3 linked regions of the Arabidopsis thaliana genome follow. The protein of the gene in region 3 interacts with the protein of the main gene of each other region in a pairwise test. Each region holds a gene or a part of one and is shown on either strand. Other genes may lie near its edges.

What was found.
Region 1: the proteins of CLC-A (region 3) and CAT6 interact in a protein complementation assay, tested with the Arabidopsis thaliana proteins (one large-scale study listed by BioGRID).
Region 2: the proteins of CLC-A (region 3) and CNGC10 interact in a protein complementation assay, tested with the Arabidopsis thaliana proteins (one large-scale study listed by BioGRID).

The regions. Positions count from the first base shown.
Region 1 is NC_003076.8:1,376,691-1,382,989, forward strand, and holds CAT6 (cationic amino acid transporter 6), read left to right. Parts: upstream 1-1,930; 5' UTR 1,931-2,427; coding exon 2,428-2,830; exon of another isoform or gene 2,831-2,946; coding exon 2,947-3,515; intron 3,516-3,627; coding exon 3,628-3,859; intron 3,860-4,580; coding exon of another isoform or gene 4,581-4,612; exon of another isoform or gene 4,613-5,066; coding exon 5,067-5,614; 3' UTR 5,615-5,788; downstream 5,789-6,299. UniProt on the Arabidopsis thaliana protein: Permease involved in the transport of the cationic neutral or acidic amino acids.
Region 2 is NC_003070.9:131,690-137,627, reverse strand, and holds CNGC10 (cyclic nucleotide gated channel 10), read left to right. Parts: upstream 1-1,703; 5' UTR 1,704-1,920; intron 1,921-2,305; exon of another isoform or gene 2,306-2,358; 5' UTR 2,359-2,411; coding exon 2,412-2,440; exon of another isoform or gene 2,441-2,509; coding exon of another isoform or gene 2,510-2,523; coding exon 2,524-3,046; intron 3,047-3,126; coding exon 3,127-3,339; intron 3,340-3,421; coding exon 3,422-3,717; intron 3,718-3,875; coding exon 3,876-3,987; intron 3,988-4,088; coding exon 4,089-4,325; intron 4,326-4,409; coding exon 4,410-4,804; intron 4,805-4,883; coding exon 4,884-5,214; 3' UTR 5,215-5,358; downstream 5,359-5,938. Other genes in the region: AT1G01350 (Zinc finger (CCCH-type/C3HC4-type RING finger) family protein), read right to left, coding at 1-693, 812-896. UniProt on the Arabidopsis thaliana protein: Probable cyclic nucleotide-gated ion channel.
Region 3 is NC_003076.8:16,380,727-16,387,090, reverse strand, and holds CLC-A (chloride channel A), read left to right. Parts: upstream 1-1,666; 5' UTR 1,667-2,091; coding exon 2,092-2,270; intron 2,271-2,586; exon of another isoform or gene 2,587-2,960; coding exon 2,961-3,161; intron 3,162-3,253; coding exon 3,254-3,431; intron 3,432-3,529; coding exon 3,530-4,062; intron 4,063-4,136; coding exon 4,137-5,268; intron 5,269-5,341; coding exon 5,342-5,446; 3' UTR 5,447-5,775; downstream 5,776-6,364. Other genes in the region: AT5G40880 (WD-40 repeat family protein / zfwd3 protein (ZFWD3)), read right to left, coding at 5,886-6,299. UniProt on the Arabidopsis thaliana protein: Voltage-gated chloride channel that could play a role in the regulation of nitrate content.

The sequences.
Region 1 (6,299 bases), about 15 Mb from region 3:
GTCAAATCACATATTTTGCCACGGATTTTATATAACTTCAAATATATGGAGAATGGAATTTTTGTATTTTTCAATTAGAAAAAAATACTATAGGGAAAACAGAGATGGGCAGGTCTGGCACAGGGCGTGTGAGACGTGGTCGGATTGAGGCAACCTGAATTTTGCATCTTATCTAAAATTCAGATTTGACCATCCCACTCACTGTATAAACCACTCCACATTATCTTTTTTATTTATTTCATTATTACTCTTTTGTGTACCCAAAAATGTGAGACTTATTGGTGACCATACAAGTCATAATTTATTCTTGTCGAAATTAATTTATATATAAATGTATGCGTATGTGTGTTGTAGATACGAATATGTGTCAACGTTGCTGACACTAATCTAATTATCATTATTGTGAACAAAGAGAGGCTTAAGAGTGTTCGATTGAAGTAGATATTTAATACTATTTGTTTGGATAAGGTAGTGTTAATTCAATGCAGTGCGCGGCCAACCAAAAAATAAAAAGATCAATTGCAACGTGTATCCAGTTACGGGTATGATTGGGAGCGATAGAACTTTTACATAAACATACACAAATCATTCTACAACACTTTTTAATCAAGTTTCATAGATGGTTAGATGAGTTCTATTCGAATTAACCTTATAGTGAGTTTTGGTGTGGTAAAAATAGTGTTGATTTTGGATTACATATACACATGCGGTTAGTTGGTGGTGTTGGTGATTTTGGATTTTGGATTTCAGTGAACAGCATCAAAGGCTCCGAGTTCGACCCATGAAAATAAAATCAGTCAATCCATTGCTTCTTCTTCATCTTAAAGCGTCGAGTCTAATGCCGATTTCTCTATGGAGAATACTCATCAGGATCATGATACAACCTGCAAACATGTTGCGTTGCCCTTATCACAGAGAACAGATCACTCATCTTTTTTTTCAAGAACTCACTCATGCATATTACCACTCACACATACTATCAAATAACACGGCACTAACACTAAAACAAATTACTAAGTTACAAACTGTACCAACACAAGATTTGCGGTTATTTATTCCTCTAAGTACCAAACTATTCGTGTCCTCGTTTTAAAACATTTAAATGCAGAGACAAAATCAGTTGAAGAAGACCTTAATTAGCTGCAAATATGCGATAATATTTTCCTAGTAATGCCAAGTTGCCAACTATAAAAAATGAGAAGATTGTCGAAAAGAACCAACTAATTACAAAAACTCATTTCCTCAAATTCTGGTCACGCTTCGCTTTAAACCTGTGTGCTTATCCATTGAAAACAAAACAACATCCCACGTGTCACCTTCTTTGCCACACGTGTGAATCTTAAACCACACATAGCCGTTAGAGGTAACGTCGTTACCGTGTCTTATGATATACGGAAGTTAACGCCGTTTGTTTAGTTTTTTCTTTTTAACGTCCGTGACGGTTTCATAACCTCGGGAACTAAGTAAGGAAGAGCTTTTGAAGCAGAGAGTCGTTACGTTTCAAACAACCGATCATAGTCATAGACACAATTATGGTATTAATTTCATTAATTAGTACTAATTCCCTATCAATTACAAGGAACGCAATTACAAAATTTTGTCTATAATAACATCAATTTTAGACCCTCATTTCAAGGAAAAATGTGGGAATGATTCTCCAATGACATATTTATGATTAAAAAGTTCATTTCTCAGGTTCGAAATATTTTGACCATTTTGAAATATACTAATAATGTTGTTTAAAAACATATCTTATTAGAATGTTTATATGGTGTTATAGTGTTGAGATATTTTTTTTAAATATAAATAATTGAGTACAAATCTATAAATTTAAACAATAAAGAGTGTTATTAACAATTAATGATAAGTAGTAAAAAAAAAAGAATATTCTTCAATAAAAACCGTAATTCATTTTTTTCCTATTTTTTAAAAAACAAAACAAAATAAGATAACCATAGGAAATGCCACTCTGTTACAACTCAGCAGTCTAATGATATTTAATAAAATACCAATTTTAGTGGTTTATGGTCAACAAAAATAGTTTACAAGCTTAGCTAGATGTGAATACATACTATATACTACCAAACTAGTTTATGATTTGTATATGAATCAATAAAAGCGTTAGCATAATTAGTATATATAAATGTAACTGTAATTGGACCAAAGAGATAAAGCATCTTGGGTTTAGTAAGCTTTTGAGCTGATGATGCTTATGTGATTAATGTGAATATAAGAATTAGGGAACAATCTTGTTGTTAATAACAATACTTATAACATTTAAATGCCCTTAAGTATCGTCATAATTACATCTTTGTCCCTATCCTTCTCTTTTTCACTTTTCCTAATCTCTAATATAAAACCAACTCTTGTCAAATTCAACAAAATTCTCACACAAACCGACCCGACCCGAATCTGGCCGGTGAGAAAATGGAGGTCCAAAGCAGCAGCAACAATGGTGGTCACTCTTCTTTCTCCAGTCTCCGCGTCTACCTCAACTCTCTTTCCGCGACGCCTTCTCGCTTATCCCGCCGCGCTATTTCCGTCTCCACCTCTTCCGACGAGATGAGTCGCGTCCGCGCCGTCTCCGGCGAACAGATGCGCCGTACTCTCCGGTGGTACGATCTCATTGGACTCGGAATCGGGGGAATGGTCGGCGCCGGTGTCTTTGTCACCACCGGCCGTGCTAGTCGTCTCGACGCCGGTCCTTCAATTGTCGTCTCTTACGCCATCGCCGGGCTCTGCGCTCTCCTCTCCGCTTTCTGTTACACCGAATTCGCCGTCCATCTCCCGGTCGCCGGCGGTGCCTTCAGCTACATCCGTATCACATTCGGTTAGTCTCCCGCGAAAATCATCACTACTCCTCCGATCTGTTCACGGTTTTCTGAAAATTTTAATTTCAAAATCAAAAACCGTAACTGATTTCTTTTCTGTTACATTTCCGTTCAGGTGAATTTCCAGCATTTTTCACCGGAGCAAATCTTGTAATGGATTACGTAATGTCAAACGCGGCCGTTTCGAGAAGCTTCACCGCTTATTTAGGAACAGCTTTCGGGATCTCAACTTCCAAGTGGCGATTCGTCGTCTCCGGTTTACCGAAAGGATTCAACGAGATTGATCCAGTCGCAGTTCTCGTCGTCCTCGTAATCACAGTCATCATCTGTTGCAGTACAAGAGAGAGTTCCAAAGTGAACATGATAATGACTGCATTTCACATCGCATTCATATTCTTCGTGATCGTGATGGGATTCATAAAAGGAGATTCAAAGAATCTATCCTCACCGGCGAATCCAGAGCACCCCTCGGGATTTTTTCCGTTCGGCGCGGCGGGAGTTTTCAACGGAGCTGCCATGGTTTACTTAAGCTACATAGGATACGACGCCGTTTCAACCATGGCGGAAGAAGTTGAAAATCCGGTCAAAGATATCCCCGTCGGTGTTTCCGGCTCCGTCGCAATCGTCACCGTTCTTTACTGTCTCATGGCAGTCTCTATGTCAATGCTTCTGCCATACGATCTGGTCCGTACTTCAAATTTATTATTTTCTTATTGTATATTTCCGTTTTCATAAAGACGGCACGTAGTCTGAGTCTAAAGCTGAAAACGGCGGGGCATGTGTTGTTGTAACGCAGATAGATCCGGAGGCGCCGTTTTCCGCGGCGTTCAGAGGATCGAACGGCTGGGAATGGGTGACGAAAGTGGTGGGGATAGGAGCAAGCTTTGGGATATTAACATCACTTTTGGTGGCAATGTTAGGTCAGGCTCGCTACATGTGTGTCATCGGACGGTCCAGAGTGGTCCCCTTTTGGTTCGCTAAGATTCATCCCAAAACATCTACGCCAGTCAACGCCTCCACTTTTCTTGGTACGTTTCTTTGTCTTCATTCATTCATCAAAAAAACATTTATTTAATTACTGTCAAACAAACAATGATGAAATATAATCAAATCATATATAGTTAAAAATAAATTTTGGTCCAGAAAGTGAGATAGAGGAGTAGTAGTTAGGTTAAAAGGGGACCCCAATGAGAACCGTTTCGGTTGTTTCCATGATCTTTTTATTGATTTGAACTTTTAACGTTTTCTCTAAATCATACGATCCACGTGATTTCATTATATATACGTGTCCATTTCAATATATTTTAAAGATCAAAAGCTTTTGGACGTTACCATTTTAAAAATCTTCTGCTATCGATTTCGATCGTGACAAGGGCTATGTACGTTGTGTAAGTATATCTCAATGTAGGGACATGGTTCAATGTGATTTGTATCATTGTATGGTGTTTAAGACAAGAGTCACAGAGAGAGCATCTGAGTCCGATTGCTAGATGTCGTTGTTCACCACTGGTTTTCTTTTCTGCTCTGTGAAAAGTTTCGTGTTTTTTGATTGTTCAAAGATTCAATCTTTTCAACGGTCTTGATTGTGATGGATTTGGTGGGTCTCTTTGGTTCTTTTTGTGTCTCCTTAGTGTTAAAAATACATATTCCACTTTTTTTTAAATAAAAATACGATAGTTGGATTATTAGTCATCCATTGGACGACTAGTAGTTAATCAATCATTTTTTTATTTCATTTTTTTTGTGAAGATACTACTAAGCCTAGTCGGCTGATATTTTGACAACTCCAACTTTTCGTAATTTCCGGAACATCTGGCTGAGCTATGCAACTCGTGAGTTGTTAGGTACCAGGATTTAGAATAATGACCATCTTTGATAAAATACATAGAAGATTGGAAAACATATACTAACGTTTAGAGCCATATTTATATGCATAATCTTTGTAACAAGCATTGTTTTCCTCATTAAGTTACTCTCATGCCTTTGTCACAAAATGGATCATTATAAAGGGGGTCATCATCGTTCAACCTTATCCTTGCTAATTTTAGCACCCACTAACTCACATTTGCTATATCCATCAATAGCATTGACAAAAAGACAAAATAAAGGAACAAATCCTCCCACTACCATTCATTTCAAATTTGGACTTTTTTCACTAGTCGAATCATCTACAGTTATAGAGAATATGACCATTGACCAATCTTATTAACGTTCGTATATTTTATCCCTTATCAGGCATTTTCACGGCGGCTCTTGCGCTTTTCACCGACCTAAACGTCCTCCTAAACCTCGTATCCATTGGAACACTATTTGTCTTCTACATGGTCGCAAACGCTCTCATCTTCAGACGTTACGTCCCGGTTGGACCCACCAAGCCGTGGCCCACACTCTGCTTCCTCACACTATTCTCCATAACCTCTCTCGTCTTCACCCTCATCTGGAAACTTGTGCCGGAAGGTAAGCCTAAAGCTTTCATGCTCGGTGCCAGTGCGGTGGTGGCTATAGCCATCGTGCTGAGCTTTCAGTGCGTGGTTCCCCAGGCTAGGAAACCTGAGTTGTGGGGAGTCCCGTTCATGCCGTGGACCCCGTGCGTGTCGATATTCTTGAACATTTTTTTGCTTGGTTCGTTGGACGCACCCTCTTACGTCCGGTTTGGATTCTTCTCCGGTTTGATCGTGCTCGTGTATTTGTTTTATGGCGTTCATGCGAGTTCTGATGCTGAAGCGAATGGATCTTTTGGTGTGAAAGATGGACAAGTCATGAAAGAGCTAATTGAAGTGTGAAAAGTATTTATTTAGTTTAGTTTTCTAAAGCATCATGAACCAAAATGTAATTAAACTCTCTAATTTTTTTTCTACATGAGGGGGTTTGAAATATTAATGAGAAAATATTAAATACAACTTTAGGAAAAAAAAGAATATGTATTTTGGTTTAACGAACGACCAAAATGAAATCGGTCATATGCAAGTCAATCTGTTGAGAGAATAGAGAAACTGATGATATTTTTGTTTTACCGTTGTGTACAATTCACAACACACAATATTTTTAAATACAGTACAAACTATTAGGTTACAAGTTTTTGAGATTGAAAGATCAAATCTTTGTCAAACCTATAAGGCAAGATCACGTATGAAATATACATGTGATAGATAACATTAATAAATGGAAACGTTAGATAGACATAGGTCTCTCATAAATACGAGATGGCGTACAATTGAAAACGATGGGTCCCCATCTTTCTCACGGGACACACATACGTGACATTATCCGCAACTTCATATATATCCAACAAGATCACCTTTTCTTTTTCATTTTTTTGTTCACAATCACTTGTTTCAAATTCCTTGAGGATATTTATACATTCTTTTATTATTTGCATTTATATATTCTATATATCAATAGTACTATTGAACTTTCGTAAACAAAGAACCATGCACAAAAAGTTTCAGTTTATTAAAGATGTCTTCA
Region 2 (5,938 bases), on a different chromosome or scaffold from region 3:
CATCTTCATCCTCAACTCCCATAGCTTTATTTCTCTTCCTAACTTTCTCTGCTTCTTCCCACTCTTTCTCTATCTGCCATCCTGGTTTGTAATCCCCACGGTCATGCAAGAACTTACACGAATCTCCATATCCACAGTATCCGGTTTCTTTGTAATCCTTGCAAATGTCTGGCTGGTAATCGAATCTAGCCGACACTCTTATGTGAGCAGAAGCTCTTAATGGCCCGTGTGAGCCTCCAGCTTTCTCGCTCGAGATTGTTTGTTCTCTTCTAAACCCAGCTTTGTGATCTGTATATCCATGAATTCCTTTGTACAGCTTCTCATCAGAAGCCTTTTTCTTATTCCCTTTCAATGCTTCGTCTGCTTTTTTAAGAACTCTCTCACGGATAGCTCGTGCGTCTTGATTGAAGTCGGTCTCAGTTTCAAGGGTTGCTGTTGCTCCACTGTCGTTCTGAACCTGGATTTCCTTGGATGAATCGTAGTGAAAGACGGACCTCTCAGGAGCTCCACTCGTTGTAGTAGAACTCTTAGATGGTCCAGAAGAAAAGTATAACTTGCTATCGGGTTTTGCAACTTTCTTTAGATTTTGTAGAATAGAGCTTTCGCTTTTCGAATCTCCGTCTTCTTCATCAGCGTCAATGGTTCTTTTTCTTATGTTTTTACTTTTCGTTGGCTTCTTGAAGAAAGTGCAAACTGAAACAGAAGAATGATTTGATTAGTGTAAATGAAAATTTCTAGCTAACAACGAAGAACAAGAAAAAATCTCAATGAGACGACAACTAGAATTGAGATAGAAGGAAGTATATGTAACCTTGTTGAGACTGAGTTTCTTGGGCAGCAGGTTGAGGTAGAGGTTCTTCTTGCTGAGAAGGTTTAGGCTCACCAGAATCTGACATAGTTAGATATAAGACTATGTAACAAACACAAATCACCCACTTGTAATTTGCTGCTTAGTGTTTCCCTGCAAAATTCAAGATTAGTATTAAGTCAATTTCCTGAAAACTTGTAAATTTGTTTGCACTGAGTCAAACAACAATTTTATCAAAATTTCTCCAGATTCAGTTACAATAATAGACAATGCAACATAAAAATGATCACCTGAATTCTTCCTAATTCATCTACGCGAGCTCACGAATAAACCCTAGCTAACTATCTATATCGGTGGCAATTTCATTCACAGTAGATAAGGAAGCAGAAATAGAAGCTCCAGACAGATCAATCCGAAACACAGTTCGACAACTCGATGTGTCAACGGAAGCTACAAAATTTGGAATCTAAAAACCCTTTGAATTGATTGAAATTGGAGACAAAAGCTCGAACAACACTAAAGACTAAACAAGAACGAAAAGTAGATCAAAAGTATGGAGATTAAACACAAGGAAGAATATGTTACCTTAAAAAAAAATCTAAAAATCGACGCCGGTGAGCTACACCGTCAAAAAGAACGACGACGCCGTCCGTATTTTCCGACAGAAAATAAATCAGTGTGAAGAGAAAAGAAATAAGGAACATATGGTGGGGCGGTTACTTCATTTTGGGTCATGAATCTAAATGGGCTCAATATTCATAATGGGCCCGGTACTTAAAATTTGGCAACTTGCTTATTCTCGCCGTCTGACTTTGACCAAGTCATTCATCTGAATGAAATTGTTTTATGAAATGATTTTCAATTGAACAGACTTTATAATATTTAATTGCATAATATTCCTCTTTCCCTCCCTTTTTGTCGTATAATAAAATTCTCATATACTACTTTTCCAGGAAACAATATACAGAGAGAGATACAAGTAACCGCCATATGAGTCTCTCTCTCTTTCCAGCGACGACGGGACCAGTTGCTTGAATTGAAGAAAACGCCGTTCACCGACTTCCGTTTATTAGCCGAATCTTACTATCTCGCCGTTACCTACTTCGTTTCAGGTTAGTTTGATGATAGAATTTTGATTCCGATTTCCGTTTTTGTTCTTTTTCGTCTGAATTTATTTTGCTGTTTCTCAGAACCGAAACGCTTAGATATATGTCTTTCGTTTATGGTCAATGGTTTTTTGAAATTTGGATTTCTTATCTTTGATGAACAGTGTTTTTAAGTTGTTCGTGTGGTTTCCATTTATTGAGCAGGAATGGGTAGGAATTACAGGATTTGGTATAATCTAATGTTAGGTGGAAATTGACTGATTCTAGGTTCTCTAATTAACCTTTTCAAGAAAGAAATATTTAAAAACACATACACACAACACAATTGTATTTGTAGTTAGGTGTCTACTTGCTTATTTTTAATTGGTATTGGGGATTATCATTGTACGTAATCATGTAGAAGAATTCGTATGTCTTAAGTTTTGGTTCTTATTATAATGTTAGGACTCGTCACCCTGTAAGCGAAAGATCAGTTGAAATATACAAGGGTTTGGCTGATGGCATTTAGCCATGATAATCGTGTAAGGTTGGTAGTTACAGAAAATCTTGAAAACAGTTCATAGTTGAATGATTTTTTCTACTATCTCATTTTCTTATGATTTTGTTTAGGTTCAAAGATGAAGGCAAACCATTATCCTCTGAATATGGTTATGGAAGAAAAGCTAGACCTTCTTTAGATAGAGTTTTCAAGAATGTAAAATGGGGATTCAAGAAGCCATTGAGTTTCCCTTCACATAAGGATCCTGACCACAAGGAAACATCTAGTGTTACTCGGAAGAACATCATAAACCCGCAGGATTCGTTTCTCCAGAACTGGAACAAAATATTTTTATTTGCTTGTGTGGTTGCTTTGGCGATTGATCCATTGTTTTTCTACATTCCCATTGTCGATAGCGCAAGGCACTGTCTTACTTTGGACTCAAAGTTGGAGATAGCTGCGAGTTTGCTTCGTACGCTCATCGATGCCTTTTACATTATTCACATTGTGTTTCAGTTCAGGACAGCTTACATCGCTCCTTCTTCGCGGGTTTTTGGAAGAGGTGAACTGGTAGATGATGCTAAGGCAATAGCCTTAAAGTATCTCTCTTCTTACTTCATCATTGATCTACTCTCTATCCTTCCTCTCCCACAGGTAAATGACTAGTTTGATTACTTGTTCAAAATGTCAATGATCATTTCTTTTTGAATCCTCTGGCTTCTTAACTTTTGCAGATAGTAGTTTTAGCCGTTATTCCAAGCGTCAACCAGCCAGTCTCTTTGCTAACAAAAGACTACCTTAAATTTTCCATAATTGCTCAATATGTTCCTCGGATTCTCCGTATGTATCCGCTTTACACTGAAGTGACAAGAACATCTGGCATTGTTACTGAAACAGCATGGGCTGGAGCTGCTTGGAACCTCTCTCTCTATATGTTAGCCAGTCATGTGAGTTTCGGATCTTTTGATGACTGAATCTTTATACATGTAAATGCATATTAAAGGTTATATGTTAAACTTACTTATTCAGGTGTTTGGAGCTTTATGGTACTTAATCTCAGTAGAACGAGAAGACAGATGCTGGCAAGAGGCATGCGAGAAGACAAAAGGTTGTAATATGAAATTCCTCTACTGTGAAAACGATCGTAACGTTAGCAACAATTTCCTGACCACTTCTTGCCCATTTCTCGACCCTGGTGATATAACAAACTCAACCATCTTCAACTTTGGCATCTTCACTGATGCTCTTAAGAGTGGCGTTGTTGAATCACATGATTTCTGGAAGAAATTCTTCTACTGCTTCTGGTGGGGTCTTCGAAATCTGAGGTTTGTAAGACACACATAAAACTGTTGACAATAACTAACTAGCTATATTTGGAGATTTTAAGCCGTGAAATGACCTGTTTATATTTGCATCTTAAGCATATATATCTGTCACAATTTAAACAAGTCATCATTCTCACAAGTTGCTTTTGTTGTTGCAGTGCATTGGGACAGAATCTCCAAACTAGCAAATTCGTTGGTGAAATCATATTTGCTATATCAATCTGCATATCTGGACTAGTCTTATTTGCTCTACTTATCGGCAATATGCAGGTATTAGCCTCAAATAATCGCTTCTCATTTTCTGGACTTGTTCCATAATGCTACATATAAGTTACTCAGGACACGCATGTAATTTTTGTTTGCTGTTGCAGAAATATTTGGAGTCAACAACAGTTCGAGAAGAGGAAATGAGGGTGAGAAAGAGAGATGCAGAGCAGTGGATGTCTCATAGAATGTTACCTGAAGACCTGAGGAAACGTATCAGAAGATATGAACAATATAGATGGCAAGAGACAAGAGGAGTTGAAGAAGAAACCCTTCTTCGTAACCTCCCTAAAGACCTCAGAAGAGATATTAAACGCCATCTTTGCCTCGATCTCCTCAAGAAAGTGAGTAACAAGCTTTCTCTCTTTTTCTTCCATAAACTGAACTAAAGAACCCTCAGAATCCAAATTATATGATGTTTATGGTAGGTACCTTTGTTTGAGATAATGGATGAGCAGTTACTTGACGCGGTTTGCGATAGGCTAAGACCTGTGCTCTACACCGAGAACAGTTACGTGATCCGTGAAGGAGATCCTGTTGGGGAAATGTTGTTTGTTATGAGAGGAAGACTGGTAAGTGCCACCACTAATGGAGGAAGAAGTGGGTTCTTCAATGCCGTGAACCTAAAGGCAAGTGATTTCTGCGGAGAAGATCTTCTCCCGTGGGCATTAGATCCTCAATCTTCTTCTCACTTTCCCATCTCGACAAGAACAGTTCAAGCTCTCACTGAAGTCGAAGCCTTTGCTCTCACAGCTGAGGATCTCAAGTCTGTCGCTTCACAATTCAGACGCCTCCATAGCAAGCAACTCCAACATACTTTTCGGTTCGGTCACTCCCATCAGCTTCTTTGGCTCTGTTTTCGGTTTTGGATCTTCTTAACCGGATCTTGATTATATATACAGGTTTTACTCAGTGCAATGGAGAACATGGAGCGTGTCTTTTATACAAGCAGCGTGGAGGAGATACTGTCGGAGGAAGTTAGCCAAGTCACTACGCGATGAAGAAGATCGTCTCCGAGAAGCGCTCGCTAGTCAAGATAAAGAACACAATGCTGCAACCGTGTCGTCGTCCTTGAGCCTTGGAGGCGCTCTTTACGCGTCGCGTTTCGCATCAAACGCGCTTCACAATCTGAGGCACAATATCTCCAACCTTCCTCCTCGCTACACTCTTCCTTTGCTACCTCAAAAACCCACCGAGCCTGACTTCACCGCCAATCATACAACTGACCCTTAGATCTCTCTTGCATGTGTATAGTGTGTGGAATAAAGTGTAAAAACAATGGTTTGAACTTTGAACCAATAAAATGTAAAAAATTGTTTATCAACTAACAGAAATTGAAATAATGGCTGGCTCTTATGCGCCGCTTAACTTTGGCTACTTCAGTTCAGCATCACACATGGAGGTATAGTTAGAGACTCGATCTGATGATCAATGCATTGAGGAAAGTGGGAAAAGCATATTTAGCTTTCAAGCTAATGCATAGCAAAACTGGGGTTGGTTATGAGAGAATGGCTAGTGTTAGAAGGTCTGTCAGGTTTAGGACTTTACTTAAACTTGTTTTGACTCCCGAGTTTAAAGAAACTTTTTTGCGTTTATGTCTTTTCTTGAAGAAGGAAACAATCGAAAGTTTCCTTTTTATTTTGGAAGAACCTAATAATGAAAACCTGAGGGAGAATGCTAATCTCCAACAACATCTCACTCATTCTCTCTTCTTCCTTGAGAAATCAAAGCAAACCAACCAATGTTTCCTTTTGGTTTTGTTCGGTATAATATCAACGTCTCTTTCGTATGTCGGTTTTCAGTGTTTCCTTTTTTTAAGTCCCGCTCCTGTATAAAGCAGACCAACATATTGAGCTTGCGTTTATATATACTACAAGTAACCCTAGAGTACTTTCATCTCTTTTTTATCAACAACCACCTGAGAGAATGCTAATCCCCAAATTCATCTCTTCTTCCG
Region 3 (6,364 bases):
CAAAACATCGTATAATGTTAAAGATTAATTATATCTACGTTTATGTGGTCAAATATATTTCTCCAATTGGACGTTTCTAGGGTCCGGAATATATAAATCACGTGTTTGGAGAATAAATGATTAGAGATAAATACTCGTACAAGAGAAAATTTAAAAAGGGCTGTTCGATGACCTCAAGGGTCGGAATTCTTTTGATCGTTGGATCTTGGAATTATCGAACGAATGTGTAAGATTACACATGTTCATACTTATTGGTTACAAAGGTTTTTGCTGATCTGTCAGACCTAGTGGCTGAGTTGTCATTTGACACAAGTCACCAATTTAACAGAAGAGAGATATAGTCACTTGGCCAGTACGCAACCAAATGGGCAAATGGCTGATCAATGAAGAATCAAGAATGAATTATATGAATTAGAAGAAAAATAATTACAAAATCTTATTTAAATGTTGATATTTGATTTCTTCTTTCCATATTTTTAAAAGTTAAGTAAAAAGTTTGAATCGATATTTATATGAAAACGGATGAAATGATATATGAAAAAAGTACATGGGAGAATAAAAAAGATAGAAGCTACTTATTCAGGTAATGTGTGATGTATAATGAAAAATGAAGGAATTAAAAAGAAGATTATTATTGTGATCTACCATGTGTACACAAGCAACCGAAACAAATTTTGTTTATGTCCCCTAGTGCAAATTGTAGAGTATTCTATGAGTAATGTTTTTTATGGACAATGTTTGAATATCATTAGTTTTATACATGAAAACAGAAAAGATTTGTCAATGCCTTAGAGATCCACATGCAACCGTCTTTGTCGATCCAAAACGGAAAAGTATGGAGAGCGTTGGTCTGTGCAAGAAATTCATGAAAATATTTAAAATGTCTATTTTAAAATAATTATGTATTTGATAAATTAATAAATAACTAATTGTGATATTAATAGTTGTTAGGGACTATTACTTAGAGAAATTTGGGATATGGAGTAGTATTTTTGGACTTCCACATATGCATTTTTGACAGTACTTTTCAAGAAACCCTATTATGAAACCAAATTATACAAGTTGCACTATGCGCCCAAAGATTTTGGAACTATCGACGTAAAACATTTTATGTCTGCCACAAAAATTCTTAAAAGTTACCTTAATGTTTATGTAAATCATTTTTCTTTCCCTCTTCAACTTTACGTCAAAATCACATATTGATTTGTAATGAAAGAAATAAAAAAATTGAGTACAAATTAATAGCTAGATAATAGTCGATTTCTACACACACAAAAAGGGTTATATCCTTAGTGGATAAGAATTATTTCAATATAAAAAAATTCGTCGTTGTTCAACTACGTCAAAATCACAAACTAATTTCAAATTTATTTTGGGTATTAATATACATGAAAAACGAGTAAAACAAAAGTATGTATATAGCTAAAGACAAAGTAGATTTGTACACACAACAAAATGGACTAAAAATATTGATAAGAATAAATAAACTAATATAGGGTTTGTATACAGAATTATAACTTTCTTCCTTCTAACTTCAAAACCAACAATGGATTTCAAAACTATATACTGTATTCACTATTCAGATTGAAACATAGCTAGAGAATAGTAGATGCCTACACAAACACACATATCATGCCTTCATTTTAGGTTTTTTTTTTTTTTTTTTGATGACAACCTTTATTTTAGGTTATATTATTTAAGTAGGCAATATAATATAGACCAATGATTGTCTTATCTTTAGTGAGAATAGCATATGGTACCCATCCACCCACTGTGACTCCTCCTCACAACAAATAACATTTAAATTAAATGTTATGTTTGTATCACCATACATATAATGGTGTATATTGATGCATGCATGTATCATATGTAGAGAGAGATCTATAAAGCTTCATAAAAGTGTTTCTCTAGAAAAAACGACAAAATTCGCAGAGAAAATCCAAACCAAAAGTAGTTTTGTAACAGAGAGATAGATAGAAAGCTCTTGAAGATCTAACCAAAATCTACTTTTGTTCTTCTTCTTCTTCTTTTCATAAATTTTCGGAGTGGTCCTATTTATTGTTTCTTGGATCATTAGAGAGACAGCTATCGATGGATGAAGATGGAAACTTGCAGATTAGTAATAGTAATTACAATGGAGAAGAAGAAGGAGAAGATCCAGAGAACAACACTTTGAATCAACCACTGCTTAAGAGACATAGAACTCTTTCTTCAACTCCTCTTGCTTTGGTCGGTGCCAAGGTTTCACACATCGAGAGTTTAGATTATGAGTATGTCTTCTTTATCTTCTAGATCTTGATTATTTGATTCTTATTCTGTTTTCATATCGAATTTTACTTTTCTTGAATTGTTTTTTGGATGAGTCTTAATCTTGTTCTATAAAGAGTGACAAAAAAAAAACCTTATTCTATAAAGTTTTGAGCTTTACTCTGTTTCCAGATAAATCTTCACTTTCTGATGGTTTATTGAGTTTGTCATTATCTTTTTTTTTTGTAAAGTTTCAATCTTACTATTTTTTCAGCTAATTTTCATTTTAGAAAGAAATAAAATTGAATGGATTATTTGTCTCAATCTCTTTCTATAAATTTTTAAATCTTTATCCTGATTTTCAGAACATAAATTATGAAAATATTAGAGATAATTTTGACAAGAAGAATGAAAATATTAGTGATGGAGACATATGACCTGTTGTGATACTTCAATTATTTCTCACATTTTCAATTTGCCGCAAGCAATCATAAACCAAATCTTGTACAAGATCCAGATAATTAGGTTACCTTTTGTTTATTAGTTGTATGATAAGTCTTGGTCTCAAATCTCTTTCTATAACGTTTATTTATCTTTACTCTGTTTTCAGACAATCTTCATATATTTTTTTTTCTTAAACTTGGTGGAAAATAATCAGTGATGGAGACATATACTTGTATAGATTTTTGATTTGAGATTTTGGATTTCTGCAGAATAAACGAGAATGATCTGTTCAAGCATGACTGGAGAAGCAGATCAAAAGCACAAGTGTTTCAATACATATTCTTAAAATGGACATTAGCTTGTCTTGTTGGTCTCTTCACTGGTCTTATCGCTACTCTCATCAACCTTGCTGTCGAAAACATCGCCGGTTACAAACTTCTCGCCGTCGGCTACTACATTGCTCAAGATAGGTATTGACTCATCAGCCAAATCTTGAAAAACAAAACAGTCAAGATCAAGAAATTGAGATACCTTGTATGACAAGTTTATGTTTTTGAAATAGGTTTTGGACAGGTCTGATGGTCTTTACGGGGGCGAATTTGGGTCTGACTTTGGTGGCGACAGTACTTGTTGTTTACTTTGCTCCTACGGCGGCTGGTCCGGGGATCCCTGAGATTAAAGCTTACCTTAATGGCATTGACACTCCCAATATGTTTGGTTTTACCACCATGATGGTTAAGGTTTGTTTCTTAAACCTTCACAAAGTTTGAAGCTTCCCACAAAGTTAGTGTGAGATCTTTTGTTTTACTGATGGATTTTGCGGTTTTTTTCCGATTAGATTGTTGGAAGTATTGGAGCGGTTGCAGCTGGACTTGATCTTGGTAAAGAAGGGCCATTGGTTCATATTGGAAGTTGCATAGCTTCTTTGCTTGGTCAAGGTGGTCCAGATAATCACAGAATCAAATGGAGATGGCTTCGTTACTTCAACAACGATAGAGATCGAAGAGATCTTATTACATGTGGATCTGCCTCTGGAGTATGTGCTGCTTTCAGGTCACCAGTAGGAGGAGTACTTTTCGCTCTTGAGGAAGTCGCTACGTGGTGGAGAAGCGCTCTCTTGTGGAGAACATTCTTCAGTACAGCCGTTGTGGTGGTTGTATTAAGAGCGTTCATTGAGATTTGTAACTCCGGGAAATGCGGACTTTTCGGCTCAGGAGGACTCATTATGTTCGATGTGAGTCATGTAGAGGTTAGGTACCACGCAGCAGATATAATCCCAGTCACATTGATTGGAGTCTTTGGTGGCATTCTTGGAAGCTTGTACAATCATCTTCTGCATAAAGTTCTCCGGCTTTACAATCTCATCAACCAGTAAGTGTTTATGAACGTTCAAGAGTCTTAAAGATTTCTTTTTACTTAACATTGTTTGGTAAATTTTGGTGTAGGAAGGGAAAGATTCATAAGGTGCTTCTAAGTCTTGGGGTATCTCTATTCACATCAGTTTGCTTGTTCGGTCTTCCTTTCTTAGCGGAATGCAAGCCTTGTGATCCTTCTATAGACGAGATATGTCCAACAAACGGAAGATCAGGAAATTTCAAGCAATTCAACTGTCCAAATGGTTATTACAACGATCTATCCACTCTGCTTCTCACAACCAATGATGATGCAGTCAGAAACATTTTCTCTTCAAACACTCCTAATGAGTTTGGCATGGTTTCTCTCTGGATATTCTTTGGCCTCTACTGCATTTTGGGTCTTATAACATTCGGTATAGCGACACCGTCGGGTCTCTTCCTACCGATTATCCTCATGGGTTCTGCATACGGTAGGATGCTAGGCACAGCAATGGGGTCTTACACAAACATAGATCAAGGGCTTTACGCGGTTCTTGGTGCAGCTTCACTCATGGCTGGTTCAATGAGAATGACTGTTTCACTCTGTGTTATATTTCTGGAACTCACCAACAACCTTCTTTTGTTGCCCATTACAATGTTTGTGCTTCTGATAGCTAAAACAGTAGGTGACAGCTTCAATCTAAGTATCTACGAGATCATTCTCCATCTTAAGGGCTTACCTTTCTTGGAAGCAAATCCAGAGCCGTGGATGAGGAATCTCACTGTAGGTGAGCTTAACGACGCTAAGCCTCCGGTTGTAACACTTAACGGAGTAGAAAAAGTGGCAAATATAGTCGATGTACTAAGGAACACAACGCATAACGCATTCCCAGTCTTGGATGGAGCAGATCAAAACACTGGCACAGAGCTCCATGGTCTGATCCTAAGAGCTCACCTTGTGAAAGTTCTGAAAAAGAGATGGTTCTTGAATGAGAAAAGGAGAACAGAAGAGTGGGAAGTTAGGGAAAAGTTCACACCGGTTGAATTAGCTGAGAGAGAAGATAACTTCGATGATGTTGCAATCACAAGCTCAGAGATGCAATTGTATGTTGATCTTCATCCTTTGACCAACACTACACCTTACACAGTGGTGCAAAGTATGTCAGTGGCTAAAGCTTTGGTTCTGTTCCGGTCAGTGGGTCTCAGACATTTACTGGTGGTTCCCAAGATTCAAGCTTCAGGGGTAAGTTTGCTTTTTTACTCTCTTGATTCAAGATTCAAGAACACTACTAAACGTGTGTCTTGTGTTGTTGCAGATGTCACCTGTGATAGGGATCTTAACAAGGCAAGATCTCAGGGCTTATAACATTCTACAAGCATTTCCTCACTTGGATAAACACAAAAGTGGAAAAGCTAGATGAATAAGCCAAAATGCAAAGAGCGTTCACTATTATTTGGTTTGTGTGATTCGTGTGTCTTTCCACATTCTTAGTTGATATATATTCTGTCCAGTTTTGCTTGCATTCTTCCTTCAAGACCAAAAACAAATTATACCATTTGGTAGATTTGTGTTTTCTACTTGTAAATCTCCTTTTTTTTCCCCACGTTTTCAGTTTCAAAAGAAGAAGAATAAGAAATTTGAATACAGAACAAAACTTTGAAGCTTCCATGGAGTTCACAAATCTTTTAAGGAATTGTGTTAAATAAACATCTTTCTATGAGAGAACGGATATGAAAATATTACTTTCTTTTATCTTGGCAACATTAAAAGTTATTACATTAATGCAAGGATTTAGAATCAACCACCAATGTATATGTACAAATTAAATGAAAATCAATAGTCGAAAATTGTTAAAACGACTAAACTTTGGTGCCAGAAGCTAAGCTCCATACACGCAAGTTCCCACTCTTGTCTCCACTGAATAACAATCCTCCAGGACCAATTGTAAGTGTGCAGATCGTCTGCGTAGAGAACATCTTTCCTCTTTCTTCAAAAGATGGTAGGTCGAAAATGCCAACTGCTCCATTTTGGTAAGAGCAAAACATGATCGGTTTGGCCTCTGCATCGTGCATTCCACAGAGAGTATGAACACTCAGTTCTTGTTTGCGAGTTTGAACAACTTTCAAACTTTCATTTTCAGAACAAGCCCAAAGTTTTATGGTCCCATCCAAGGAAGACGATATCAGACACTTGTCCCAACATAAGAGTGAAGTGACAGTGCCGATATGTTGCTTCAGGGTCATTCTACATTGCAAGGTGTTGAGATCCCACACCTAGAACCACAGCAAACAGAAGTTATTAGAATGCATTCAAAATAAGATTAAAGATGAAATCATTT